Linked DNA regions of Mytilus edulis. The protein of the gene in region 1 purifies or fractionates together with the protein of each later gene. This does not show direct contact. Links are inferred from orthologs where the notes say so. Each region holds a gene or a part of one and is shown on either strand. Other genes may lie near its edges.

Region 1 (7,146 bases):
TGTAGATGAATATGTTAACCGGTTATATATCTAACTTCGAAATGTTGTATGTTGTAAGTGCAAAATCTCCCTCTTTTTCATAAAAAAAATAATATACATGCATTGTCAGAAAATATCAAATGTAAAATTTGTACTTGTTATGAGACAGTTAAAAATACAACCCATGCTTTTCCTCCAGTTTCAAAAGCTTATCCAATTATAGATTTAGTATTTTGTACAATGTAGTATACTGTATTTAAGTATATAAATTACCTGACAGCTTTGCGTTTGCGGTTACTACATGTCAACTGAGTACGACTTTGTTCCACAATACAATCCCCAACTCCTGGGACACTACTCAAATCCTTTACGGTTGAGAAACCTCCAAATGACTGCAATAAATTATATGGCAAATCTTTAAAAATGTACTGTGCCAAATAGGTTACTTTGAAGTATACAATTAATAGAATTGTAAATTATTTCAGCTGAAAAAATTTCAGAAAAAAGGTATCAAAATTCAGGTTACTCAAATTCCAAAGCTGTTGTTCTTAGACTCATTCCAATCTTAAAATTCTTTGATCTGTTTTAAAACCTATGATTTGCACTTGTTGCTTGCCCCCTTTCTCTCAATCTACAAGTATGTATGTATGTATGTTAAGTTTCATTTGTTTTGAATCTATAAGCTAGAAAGCAAAGAGCCTAAAGTTTGATGTGCCGATCTGCATACATGTATATAAACAATGGGGTCTGTTGTAGTTTGCAATGTGTTTTGAGATTTGATCATTATTGAAGGTCATACAATGACCATTTGTTGCTTCCTTTGACGTCATTTGGTTTGACTGTCACAGGTGGAGTTTTTTTCATTGGCAATCATACATGTACCACATCTTTTTATATAGACAGTTTTATATAACTAAAAGCCAATTAAAGTGCATACCTATTTGAATTTGTAGTAAAATTACAAATGAAACAAATTTGTAAAGTGTACACAACTGTAAGACACTGTTAGGCCCTCAACAATGAGTAAAACAAAAACTGTATAATAAGAAGCTATAGTGCCCAGGCTTGACAATATGTAAATACTTTTAATGTCCACTTTTCAAGAAATTTAAAATAATGACCATGAGAAAAACTGACCTTCCTGTATTTGATGATAGCTTTTGCTTTTCTTAAACCAATACCATTTACTTTTTCAAAGTCTTCTACACTAGCCTTGTTGATATCTATTTTCTTGCTTGCCATTATCACAGCCAATCATCTTTATTTTCTGTAAAACATTATCAATATCATGAATGTAAAGTTAGGTCGTCAGCATGCAATACATAATTTGTAATAATAAATATGATGTCGGAAAAACAAGCACATATTGTATATAATTAAAGCACCAGATCATATTTGTACCTTTTTTGAGGGAAATTGTGATGTCATGGTGCATTCTCAATAGCACTAAAACCCATGATACAAGATACATTTGTACATCACTTTAAGGCCAGTCATGTCAATGTTTTTATCAATTTCAAAGGATTAGGATTTATACTTCACATGTACTTCACAATAGAAACAAAGTATAGGAATCATGTATTAATTTATCAAAAAGATCAATGTTCATCGACAGTCATCCAGTGTATACCAGAATTATGAAGACATACTAAATGTTACTTATCCTATGAGGAGAAAAAAAACACCAAAAAATGTCATCAAAAATGTTATCTTGTGTGAATTCTGTTATTGTTTCATGACCTGTTAAAAGTCTCCTCATTTACTTGTACCCTATCTCTTCTTTATTCACATAACTGACCTCCTGAACACTGTAACACCTTCTGTAAGGCTGTTTGCTAGCAACTGAATACTGTATAGAACCATCAAAATAGAAAAAAGACCACAAACTTAGAACTACAAGAAGATTGATAAACAACTGGGGAATGCGATTTCAATTATTTAATGGAAAAAAATGTTACATTGTTATATATGCTTTAAAAACAAAAGCTAGAGATTTAATATGCTAAATGGACACATTCTCCAACAACTCACACCTAGGAAAACAAATATCAGAAGATCTGAAGTAAAGCACACACAAAAAGTCATAATAACTGTTGCAAATAAGGCAAATTCAACCCTAAGTTTTCTGAGAAGGAACCTAAGGTACATTTACATGTACTGTCCGCATGAATGGTAAGAACTGGTACAAGGGCTGTATAGCCAGTCAAGGTCGTTAAAAACTTTCATTTGTTTGGTAAGAAAACTGCTAACATTTCACAAGTACACTCAACAATGGAAGATGCAGCAACAGCATAGCATGAACAGCCACAAACAAGCTAGAAAGGTTCAAAATATTTAATAACTTAAGACAAGAAAAGATGGATGCATAACAAAATCCTTGTCAAACTTACAAATTACAAAAACTACAGCATACATTTAGATGCACATACAAAAAGCTTATATTTGGGTACACAGTGGTTGAGGGGCAGGTTCCTGCTATTGATCCAGACTAAAACTAACAAGAATGTGTCCCAAGTACACAGATGCCCCACTCGCACTATCATTTTCCATGTTCCAAGGACTTTGAAATTGGGTAAATATATAATTTGGTATTAAAATTAGAAAGATTATACTATAGGGAACATGTGTACTAAGTTTCAAGTTAACCTGAAGCGGGAAGAACGAACGAACGGATGAACGAAAGGGGCCACAGATCAGAAAACATAATGCCCCTCTACTATCGTAGGTGGGGCATAAAAATTAGCTAGATAAAACCATGTATCATATGTACTAGTCCAAATAATTATGACGTCTGGCAAGGCTATTTTTAATTTTTTTCTGGGACGCCTTCCTACAACGAAGGCGTCCCAGAAAAAAATTAAAATAGCCTTGCCAGACGTCATAATTATTTGGACTACATATGTACCAACTCTCTTTGTGTCCACAAATTATAATCAACTAGTACCATCTAGAACTAGTTGTGCGCACAACAAGCATTGACAAGTGCAAGTCTTTTTATTAAGAGCATTTAATCTGCCCACACAAACTGACACCTACAACTCATTGTATAAAAGCCAGTACTTGTTATTATGACCTGAACATGTACAGATATTTCTTTCAGTCATGACTTTTCTTTGTCCTTAAATGTACATGATGTAAGTTGATTTTCCCATTGGTATATTTCTCCCCCTACATGTAGATTAGCAGGATTAGAAAGATATGCTTTAAGTTAGAAGGAATTAAATAAATGGGTAGAGACTGTGGTTAACGTAAAGTTTATTGAACCATCACGGTATGGTGTCTTGTTTTCTTTGAAGTTCAACAACGAATCAATACCTTCAAAAAGGCAACCTTTATACTTATTGTATTTCATGTAGTTAGTATACTCGACTGTCTGTGTAATACAATATAAAACATTGCTTAAAACAAATCATAATTTGATTTCTGATCATCTTAGTTTTCCCTAGATTAAGTTGATAACCACGCGATCAATGTCAAGAAAAATATCTAAAATCGAACAAAAAAGGGTCGTGGCCGCGTAACATTAATCAGCTGTTTGATTGCCATGCAAATCCGACAGAGAAACTGGATCTAGCAAAGAAACGTGAAACTATATGCTTTAATATTGATACTGTGGCATAGCAAGGCCGTTGTCCTACCTGAAATGGGGGCGATTTGTAGTGTTTACGTAGGAGAACTTTATCCGTTCCATCGCCATATTTATTTATCGATGATAGACGGAGAGTGACGAAAATAGCCGAATCTGAAAATAGGTCTATAAACCAAAAAGAACTTGACAACGTACCTACTCGAACACTTGATATATGTGTACACGAATTTAGATGTACTAAAGTCTATACAAATCTTTGATGTTCAGTTGTAAATATTGTGGCAAGCAAATAATTAATAAGAATAATAAAAAAATATCACATCTTCACTTTTTTTTTCAGTAAATCATGAACTTGTGACATACGTTAGCAATAAAGATATTATATACTTAATAAAAAAATACAAATAAATATGTTGTAGAGTAGGCATGGTCAACAAAACACAGGCATAAGATAAGCTCTACAGCCATAGTGTCTGTGTCTACAGCGCTTTTAAATTACATGAAGGATTTGTATATCCTTGATTATCATTACATAAATAAGACGCAACAGAAAGAAAGCAACACGTTATTAATGAGATAATTAAATAAAGATAAAATATTTTTTATTCCAATTAAAGGGACCACGAAGAGCAAAGTAATTTATTACAATGATTTTTATAACTGACACAATAATGCTGATATAAATCATATATAAATATGAATCTCAATTCTTAGATGTTAAACCACAGCCAGATCAGAGCCACACACATATTAGAGAAAAAAGGCATAACAATTATATCTATTATTAATTGAAACGAACACATAAGCAATATAGCCTTCTATGATGTATATAATTTAACTTTATTTAAGTTTTCCTTTTTAACTATTTTGGTGTTTTAAACAATTTTTTTACATAATATATTTGACATAAATATAGATATATATATAATTTATAAACTTTATTGAAAAGCACTTTACGCCCATATGGGCCAACACAGCTTGTAAATAGCCAACGAGAAGAGTTTTATTACATTGATGTAAAATGAAATAAGAAGATGTGGTACGAGTGCCATTGAGACAACTCTACATCCAAGTCTTTCAAAATGTGTAAAAAGTAAAACTAGTATAGGTCAAAGTAAGGCTTTCAACGCGGAGCCTTGACTCACATTGAACAGCAAGCTATATAGGACCCTAGAATGACTAGTTTAAAACAATTCAAACAGAAAAAACCAAGGATCTACTCTATATAAAAATTGAAAATGAGAAACAAGAAACAATCACGAACCACATTAACAAAAGACAACCACTGAACAGATTCTTGAAGTTCAACTGGTGCAAACGAATGCAGCAGGTTTAAACGTTTTAACAGACACCAAACTTCACCCTAACCCGAAATATTAGTGTAACAGAACAACATAGAAAGACACACTATAAAATATCAATTGAAAGGGTTTGACTCAAACAAAAAGACTTATTAACAAAAAAAAAACAAGTAAACATACACATGCCTGCTACTCTAGCTCATATTTCCATTTAATTAAGGTCAGTTTGGACACAGCCTTAGTCACAGAGTTAGTTTTTGTACATGCCTGTTACTCTTTCTTATATTTCCATTGAGTTAGTGAGTGTGAACACATCATAGTCATAAGGTTAGTTTCGTTTCTATGATGTACATGCCCGTTAGTCTTGAAAATATCTCCATCAAGTTGAGCTCAAAGTGAACACAGCTTTAGTCAAGGCGTAAGTTTTGTTACATTGATGTACATGCATGCCTGTTACTCTTGCTCTTATTTCCATTGAGTTAAGGTCAATGGGAAAACAGCCTTAGACATAAAGTTAGTTTGGTACATTGACGTACAAGACACTTACTCTTGCTCATATTTCCATTGAGTTAAGGTCAATGTGAACACAGTCTTAGACATAAAGTTAGTTTGGTACATTGATGTACAAGACAGTTACTCTTGCTCATAGTTCCATTGAGTTAAGGTCAATGTGAACACAGCCTTAGACATAAAGTTAGTTTGGTACATTGACGTACAAGACAGTTACTCTTGCTCATATTTCCATTGAGTTAAGGTCAATGTGAACACAGCCTTAGACATAAAGTTAGTTTGGTACATTGACGTACAAGACAGTTACTCTTGCTCATATTTCCATTGAGTTAAGGTCAATGTGAATACAGTCTTAGACATAAAGTTAGTTTGGTACATTGACGTACAAGACAGTTAATCTTGCTCATATTTCCATTGAGTTAAGGTCAATGTGAACACAGCCTTAGACATAAAGTAAGTTTGGTACATTGACGTACAAGACAGTTACTCTTGCTCATAGTTCCATTGAGTTAAGTTCAATGTGAACACAGCCTTAGACATAAAGTTAGTTTGGTACATTGACGTACAAGACAGTTAATCTTGCTCATATTTCCATTGAGTTAAGGTCAATGTGAACACAGTCTTAGTCAAACAGTTAGTTTGGTACATTGACGTACAAGACAGTTACTCTTGCTCATATTTCCATTGAGTTAAGGTCAATGTGAACACAGCCTTAGACATAAAGTTAATTTGGTACATTGATGTACAAGACAGTTACTCTTGCTCATAGTTCCATTGAGTTAAGGTCAATGTGAACACAGTCTTAGTCAAACAGTTAGTTTGGTACATTGACGTACAAGACAGTTACTCTTGCTCATATTTCCATTGAGTTAAGGTCAATGTGAACACAGCCTTAGACATAAAGTTAATTTGGTACATTGATGTACAAGACAGTTACTCTTGCTCATAGTTCCATTGAGTTAAGGTCAATGTGAACACAGTCTTAGTCAAACAGTTAGTTTGGTACATTGACGTACAAGACAGTTACTCTTGCTCATATTTCCATTGAGTTAAGGTCAATGGGAACACAGCCTTAGACATAAAGTTAGTTTGGTACATTGACGCACAAGACAGTTACTCTTGCTCATATTTCCATTGAGTTAAGGTCAATGGGAACACAGCCTTAGACATAAAGTTAGTTTGGTACATTGACGCACAAGACAGTTACTCTTGCTCATATTTCCATTGAGTTAAGGTCAATGTGAACACAGCCTTAGACATAAAGTTAGTTTGGTACATTGACGTACAAGACAGTTACTCATGCTCATATTTCCATTGAGTTAAGGTCAATGGGAACACAGCCTTAGACATAAAGTTAGTTTGGTACATTGATGTACAAGACACTTACTCTTGCTCATATTTCCATTGAGTTAAGGTCAATGTGAACACAGCCTTAGACATAAAGTTAGTTTGGTACATTGATGTACAAGACACTTACTCTTGCTCATATTTCCATTGAGTTAAGGTCAATGTGAACACAGCCTTAGACATAAAGTTAGTTTGGTACATTGACGTACAAGACAGTTACTCATGCTCATATTTCCATTGAGTTAAGGTCAATGGGAACACAGCCTTAGACATAAAGTTAGTTTGGTACATTGACGCACAAGACAGTTACTCTTGCTCATATTTCCATTGAGTTAAGGTCAATGGGAACACAGCCTTAGACATAAAGTTAGTTTGGTACATTGACGCACAAGACAGTTACTCTTGCTCATATTTCCATTG
Region 2 (7,146 bases), on another chromosome or scaffold:
GATTTTTATCATAAAGAATCTTTAAAAATCCTTTCAAAATAATACTTTATCAGAGAAATAATGTTTTTGTCCAAGCAAAAAAAAAAAGTACCAATGTGCAACTTACATGTTTTCATGATGTCTTCATTATCTATCATAGAAGTCTCATTCATTTAAATGAGAAAGGTCAGACAAATATTTTTGTAAAATCATTTGAATAATATAATTGGAAACATAAAAACATTGTGTACCTTTTGACAGCTTCTGGTTCTGGAAGACCACAAGGATAATAGAAAACACTGTAGTCTTCAAAATAGATTTCTCCTGGATCTAGTAATAACAGATTAAACCTGGAAAAGAATGGATAACCTTCTAATATACAAGTCATAAAAAAATAGTTAAATAATTAATAACACATGATGACATTTAGCATGTTTAGTTTTAAAATAAAGTTTAATAAGGAGATCAGAAGCACAAACATAGTAAAGTATGCCAATCTCCATCATAGTAAAGTATGCCAATCTTTCTCTCCATCATAGTTGTTCATTGGTTGGAGTTGTTGTAACATAGTTGTTCATTGGTTGGAGTTGTTGTAACATAGTTGTTCATTGGTTGGAGTTGTTGTAACATAGTTGTTCATTGGTTGGAGTTGTTGTAACATAGTTGTTCATTGGTTGGAGTTGTTGTAAGATATTTGTGCTTTTGTGGATACACATTTTTGTTGATTGAGGGAAATTGCATTTTGGGTGGATGTTTGATTTCTTGGTTTTGACAAAGTCTGCATTATTCTCATTTTTATACTTTATGCTATGTTTGATTTTATTCAATTCAGTCGTTCACTAAAAGAAGACATTTGTATGTATTTCCAATAGGAACCTATGTTAAACTAAGTCCCCTGCTGGCAGCCATCCTGGATGATAGATTGGCTACAAAGTAACAACACTTGGTCAGCACCTCATAAGGAACATTCATGCTATGTTTGGTTTCATTCCATTCAGTGGTTCTCTAGAAGAAGTCATTTGTATGCATTTCCCGTAGGGTCCTATGTTAAACTTAGTCCCCTGCTGGCGGCCATCTTGGATGATGGATCGGCTACAAAGTAACAATTAACACTTGGTCAGCACCTCATAAGAAACATTCATGCCATGTTTGGTTTCATTCCAATCAGTGGTTCTCTAGAAGAAGTTCAAAATGTAAAAAGTTAAAGAAGACAACGGACAACGAAGATGGATGACGACAACGGACGCCAAGTGATGAGAAAAGCTCACTTGGCCCTCCGGGCCAGGTGAGGTAAAAATGCAGAAAATTCAAACTCTTCATTCAGTGAAAAACCTTGATAATGTATGTTTCAGTGCACTGTTACCAGTATTACTATTAGCAGGAACATATATACTGATGGGACTTGTCACTTAGATATATGATTCCGGCTAATGCCCTTTACCATCAGGCGTCAAATGGCCATTTTTGGTTACCATTAGCGTCAAATTGGTTAAAATTTTGCCATGATTCGTCAAATTATGCTTATCATGATTCGTCAGAGGTCTCAAATAGTTATCATTATTGACCATGTTGACATTTTTAGAAAAAAATTGAAAGTGTTTCGTCTAAATCAGTCGATTCTTTTGTACATTTTTATTGTCATGCCCCAAAAATTACCGTTAATGTCATTTGGCAAGAATTAATTATTATTTCAGTTTTTTCGTCATGAAAATACCCCCATCACCTCCCTCAGCTATAAGCCACAAAAATCTTCATAGAAATAACACAAGTCATAAGACATAAGATATCACATAACCCAACAAAGAAAAACTAAGTCATTTGTAAGTGAATGACAGTGTATAAATTCTTATGAAACTACATGATATATACATATAAAAAAATCATAAACCTTTCTTTTGAAGCAGTGTCATTTTCTAAAAAAGACATTATTCAAAGAATTCATAAATGTGAAATTCAGTCTGTGTTCATATCCATTTGGTCTGTTTCCGGGTTGATTAGAGTTTTATTCTACTTCCGGTTTGAAGGTTAAATTTGGGGACAAGTCATTTTATCAATAAAACAAATATTTTTTAAATGATCTAACATTTGAATTCTTGTTAATTTTCTTGTACCATTCAATTTTATCAGATTTTAAACAAAAGTTTAACTTTTTTTATATTTTGGTTCGATATATCCACCTAACAGTAATTATATCGTTCTTGAGAAATAGCCTGTCCCTTAAAAGTGCCAACATGGCTGAGAAGAAAAACAAATATTCTGTTCTCCTTCCAACTTACAACGAAAAGGACAATCTACCTCTAATAGTGTGGCTTATTGTGAAATATTTTACAGAGAGGTAACAAATAATGATGTCAAGAAATGAATAAATCCATTTTACATAAATTTTTGTAGTAAAAAAATACATTTTTATGAATATTTTTTACTATACCTGTATGTTTCCTTGTAGATGTCAAGCATTTATGCATTATGAAGAAACTTTTTAGTAGGCAAAAAAAAAAGACTAGAAAATTGTTGCCTAAAAAGGGATTTATTAAAATTTATTGAAAGATTTAAAAAAATACTTTCTCATAAGTTTTTTATGATCTACATTTACTTGCAAGAAGTGATTGATTGCAATAGATTTTCATTAAACCTTTAAATTTTTTATTCACTTATACACAATTGTTTGTATTTTATTACCATGTATTGTAAATTGTTTATCCATTCGGTCATTACCATTTATTGTAAATGTGTTTGCGTCAATAAAATATTGTCTATTGTCTACAGAGGGGGGTTAGGAGGGGTCCTGATCCCGAAATCCCGGGCTTAAAAACACGATATCCAGAAATCCCGAGCTAAAAAACACGAAATCCCGAGGTCCCGAAATTCGAAAAATAGAATTCCCGGATCCAGAAAGGGTCAATCCTGAAATCCCAAGCTTAAAAACACCCGATCCCGGAGTCCCGATAAAGGTCCTATCCCCCCTCTCTACAACCATGACATTATTGCATCAGAAAACACAATCTTCAAGTCATTGGGGCAGATCAATGTTAAAAGTGAAATTGGAAAGAGCATATAGGATTTAGAATAGTTCTATATATACCTTGAAAGCACACTAAATTCTCATTTGAATAATGAAATATTTGCCACTGGATGTTAACTACATCATATACATGTAGCAACCAACAATCAATAATTTGAATATTCACTTTAGCCTTCAACAATATTAAAAACTGGTACTTAAAGATGTAGTAAAATGTACTGCACTTGTCAGTTTCTGAACCACATACAAGTATATCCAATATACATGATATATAATTGTTTTCTACAAACATCTATAAGGGTTTACTTTACAAATTGTGACTTGAATGGAGAGATGTCTCATTGGCTCTCATACCAAATCTTCTTATATCTGTATTTATATAAAAAGATTGAATTTCTGGACTATAGATAAGAAGAAACAAATGTAGCTGCTTTACAAACATGACAAATCTTTTGAAAATAAATATCATCAGTTGAATAATTTGTACATATACCTGTTCAAATGGTAATAATGCTTTTGACTAATACAAGTATAACTTGAAGCACCAAAACTAATTTACAGTACAAACAGCAAATACCAACTCTCACAAAAGTTAACTGACATACAATGTAAAAGACAAACAACATTAAATTAGAGATACCAGAAGCCAAATTTAGTACATGCACAGATCATGCAGAATGATATGTGGTTAACCCATTCTTAACTGCACTGCCACACTTCTCTATCTTTTATATCTATAATGTTTATATATGCTACTATCCAACTTCTCAAAGTACAAATGTAGCACATCAAATTTTTTTTTGATTGCAGTAAATATGATTTTGAAATCATTGTAATTGATGATGGCAGTCCTGATGGAACATTAGAAGTGGCAAAACAACTAGAGAAAATATATGGCAAAGACAAAATTGTAAGTTTTACTTAGAGGTGGCAAAACAACTAGAGAAATATATGGCAAAGACAAAATTGTAAGTTTTACTTAGAGGTGGCAAAACAACTAGAGAAAATATATGGCAAAGACAGAATTGTAAGTTTGACTTAGAGGTGTCAAAACAACTAGAGAAAATAAATGGGAAAGACATAATTGTAAGTTATCCTTAGAGATGGCCAAACAACTAGAGAAAATATATGGCAAAGACAAAATTGTAAGTTATCGTTAGAGTTGGCAAAGACAAAATTGTAAGTTATCCTTAGAGGTGGCAAAACAACTAGAGAAAATATATGGCAAAGACAAAATTGTAAGTTATCCTTAGAGGTGGCAAAACAACTAGAGAAAATATATGGCAAAGACAAAATTGTAAGTTATCCTTAGAGGTGGCAAAACAACTAGAGAAAATATATGGCAAAGACAAAATTGTAAGTTATCCTTAGAGGTGGCAAAACAACTAGAGAAAATATATGGCAAAGACAAAATTGTAAGTTATCATTAGAGGTGGCAAAACAACTAGAGAAAATATATGGCAAAGACAAAATTGTAAGTTTTACTTAGAGGTGGCAAAACAACTAGAGAAAATATATGGCAAAGACAAAATTGTAAGTTTTACTTAGAGGTGGCAAAACAACTAGAGAAAATATATGGCAAAGACAAAATTGTAAGTTTTACTTAGAGGTGGCAAAACAACTAGAGAAAATATATGGCAAAGACAAAATTGTAAGTTTTACTTAGAGGTGGCAAAACAACTAGAGAAAATATATGGCAAAGACAAAATTGTAAGTTTTACTTAGAGTTGGCAAAACAACTAGAGAAAATATATGGAAAAGACATAATTGTAAGTTATCCTTAGAGATGGCCAAACAACTAGAGAAAATATATGGCAAAGACAAAATTGTAAGTTATCCTTAGAGTTGGCAAAGACAAAATTGTAAGTTATCCTTAGAGGTGGCAAAACAACTAGAGAAAATATATGGCAAAGACAAAATTGTAAGTTATCCTTAGAGGTGGCAAAACAACTAGAGAAAATATATGGAAAAGACAAAATTGTAAGTTTTACTTAGAGGTGGCAAAACAACTAGAGAAAATATATGGCAAAGACAAAATTGTAAGTTTTACTTAGAGGTGGCAAAACAACTAGAGAAAATATATGGCAAAGACAAAATTGTAAGTTTTACTTAGAGGTGGCAAAACAACTAGAGAAAATATATGGCAAAGACAAAATTGTAAGTTTTACTTAGAGGTGGCAAAACAACTAGAGAAAATATATGGCAAAGACAAAATTGTAAGTTTTACTTAGAGTTGGCAAAACAACTAGAGAAAATATATGGAAAAGACATAATTGTAAGTTATCCTTAGAGATGACCAAACAACTAGAGAAAATATATGGCAAAGACAAAATTGTAAGTTATCATTAGAGGTGGCAAAACAACTAGAGAAAATATATGTCAAAGACAAAATTGTAAGTTTTACTTAGAGGTGGCAAAACAACTAGAGAAAATATATGTCAAAGACAAAATTGTAAGTTTTACTTAGAGGTGGCAAAACAACTAGAGAAAATATATGGCAAAGACAAAATTGTAAGTTTTACTTAGAGGTGGCAAAACAACTAGAGAAAATATATGGCAAAGACAAAATTGTAAGTTTTACTTAGAGGTGGCAAAACAACTAGAGAAAATATATGGCAAAGACAAAATTGTAAGTTTTACTTAGAGTTGGCAAAACAACTAGAGAAAATATATGGAAAAGACATAATTGTAAGTTATCCTTAGAGATGGCCAAACAACTAGAGAAAATATATGGCAAAGACAAAATTGTAAGTTTTCCTTAGAGTTGGCAAAGACAAAATTGTAAGTTATCCTTAGAGGTGGCAAAACAACTAGAGAAAATATATGGCAAAGACAAAATTGTAAGTTATCCTTAGAGGTGGCAAAACAACTAGAGAAAATATATGGCAAAGACAAAATTGTAAGTTTTACTTAGAGGTGGCAAAACAACTAGAGAAAATATATGGCAAAGACAAAATTGTAAGTTTTACTTAGAGGTGGCAAAACAACTAGAGAAAATATATGGCAAAGACAAAATTGTAAGTTTTACTTAGAGTTGGCAAAACAACTAGAGAAAATATATGGCAAAGACAAAATTGTAAGTTATCCTTAGAGGTGGCAAAACAACTAGAGAAAATATATGGCAAAGACAAAATTGTAAGTTATCCTTAGAGGTGGCAAAACAACTAGAGAAAATATATGGCAAAGACAAAATTGTAAGTTATCATTAGAGGTGGCAAAACAACTAGAGAAAATATATGGAAAAGACAAAATTGTAAGTTTTACTTAGAGGTGGCAAAACAACTAGAGAAAATATATGGCAAAGACAAAATTGTAAGTTTTACTTAGAGGTGGCAAAACAACTAGAGAAAATATATGGCAAAGACAAAATTGTAAGTTTTACTTAGAGGTGGCAAAACAACTAGAGAAAATATATGGCAAAGACAAAATTGTAAGTTTTACTTAGAGGTGGCAAAACAACTAGAGAAAATATATGGCAAAGACAAAATTGTAAGTTTTACTTAGAGTTGGCAAAACAACTAGAGAAAATATATGGAAAAGACATAATTGTAAGTTATCCTTAGAGATGGCCAAACAACTAGAGAAAATATATGGCAAAGACAAAATTGTAAGTTATCCTTAGAGTTGGCAAAGACAAAATTGTAAGTTATCCTTAGAGGTGGCAAAACAACTAGAGAAAATATATGGCAAAGACAAAATTGTAAGTTATCCTTAGAGGTGGCAAAACAACTAGAGAAAATATATGGCAAAGACAAAATTGTAAGTTATCCTTAGAGGTGGCAAAACAACTAGAGAAAATATATGGCAAAGACAAAATTGTAAGTTATCATTAGAGGTGGCAAAACAACTAGAGAAAATATATGTGAAAGACAAAATTGTAAGTTATCCATAGAGGTGGCAAAACAACTAGAAAAAATATATGGCAAAGACAAAATTGTAAGTTATCCTTAGAGGTGGCCAAACAACTAGAGAAAATATATGGCAAAGACAAAATTGTAAGTTATCCTTAGAGGTGGCCAAACAACTAGAGAAAATATATGGCAAAGACAAAATTGTAAGTTATCCTTAGAGGTGGCCAAACAACTAGAGAAAATATATGGCAAAGAAAAAATTGTAATTTATAACTTCAGATGCATTTCAACCAG

Evidence for each region.
Region 2: the proteins of F-box/WD repeat-containing protein 7-like (region 1) and dolichol-phosphate mannosyltransferase subunit 1-like purify together in Homo sapiens (affinity purification with mass spectrometry, with the first as the bait; 3 studies listed by BioGRID). This does not show direct contact. The link is inferred for Mytilus edulis from reciprocal best matches to the Homo sapiens genes FBXW7 and DPM1.

The regions. Positions count from the first base shown.
Region 1 is NC_092351.1:67,282,452-67,289,597, reverse strand, and holds the start of F-box/WD repeat-containing protein 7-like, read right to left. Parts: upstream 3,708-7,146; 5' UTR 3,618-3,707; intron 1,247-3,617; 5' UTR 1,222-1,246; coding exon 1,117-1,221; intron 372-1,116; coding exon 253-371; intron 1-252. UniProt on the Homo sapiens protein: Substrate recognition component of a SCF (SKP1-CUL1-F-box protein) E3 ubiquitin-protein ligase complex which mediates the ubiquitination and subsequent proteasomal degradation of target proteins.
Region 2 is NC_092348.1:4,567,239-4,574,384, reverse strand, and holds the start of dolichol-phosphate mannosyltransferase subunit 1-like, read left to right. Parts: upstream 1-2,158; 5' UTR 2,159-2,210; coding exon 2,211-2,314; intron 2,315-3,811; coding exon 3,812-3,911; intron 3,912-7,146. Other genes in the region: protein FAN-like, read right to left, coding at 231-329, 1,868-1,905. UniProt on the Homo sapiens protein: Transfers mannose from GDP-mannose to dolichol monophosphate to form dolichol phosphate mannose (Dol-P-Man) which is the mannosyl donor in pathways leading to N-glycosylation, glycosyl phosphatidylinositol membrane anchoring, and O-mannosylation of proteins; catalytic subunit of the dolichol-phosphate mannose (DPM) synthase complex.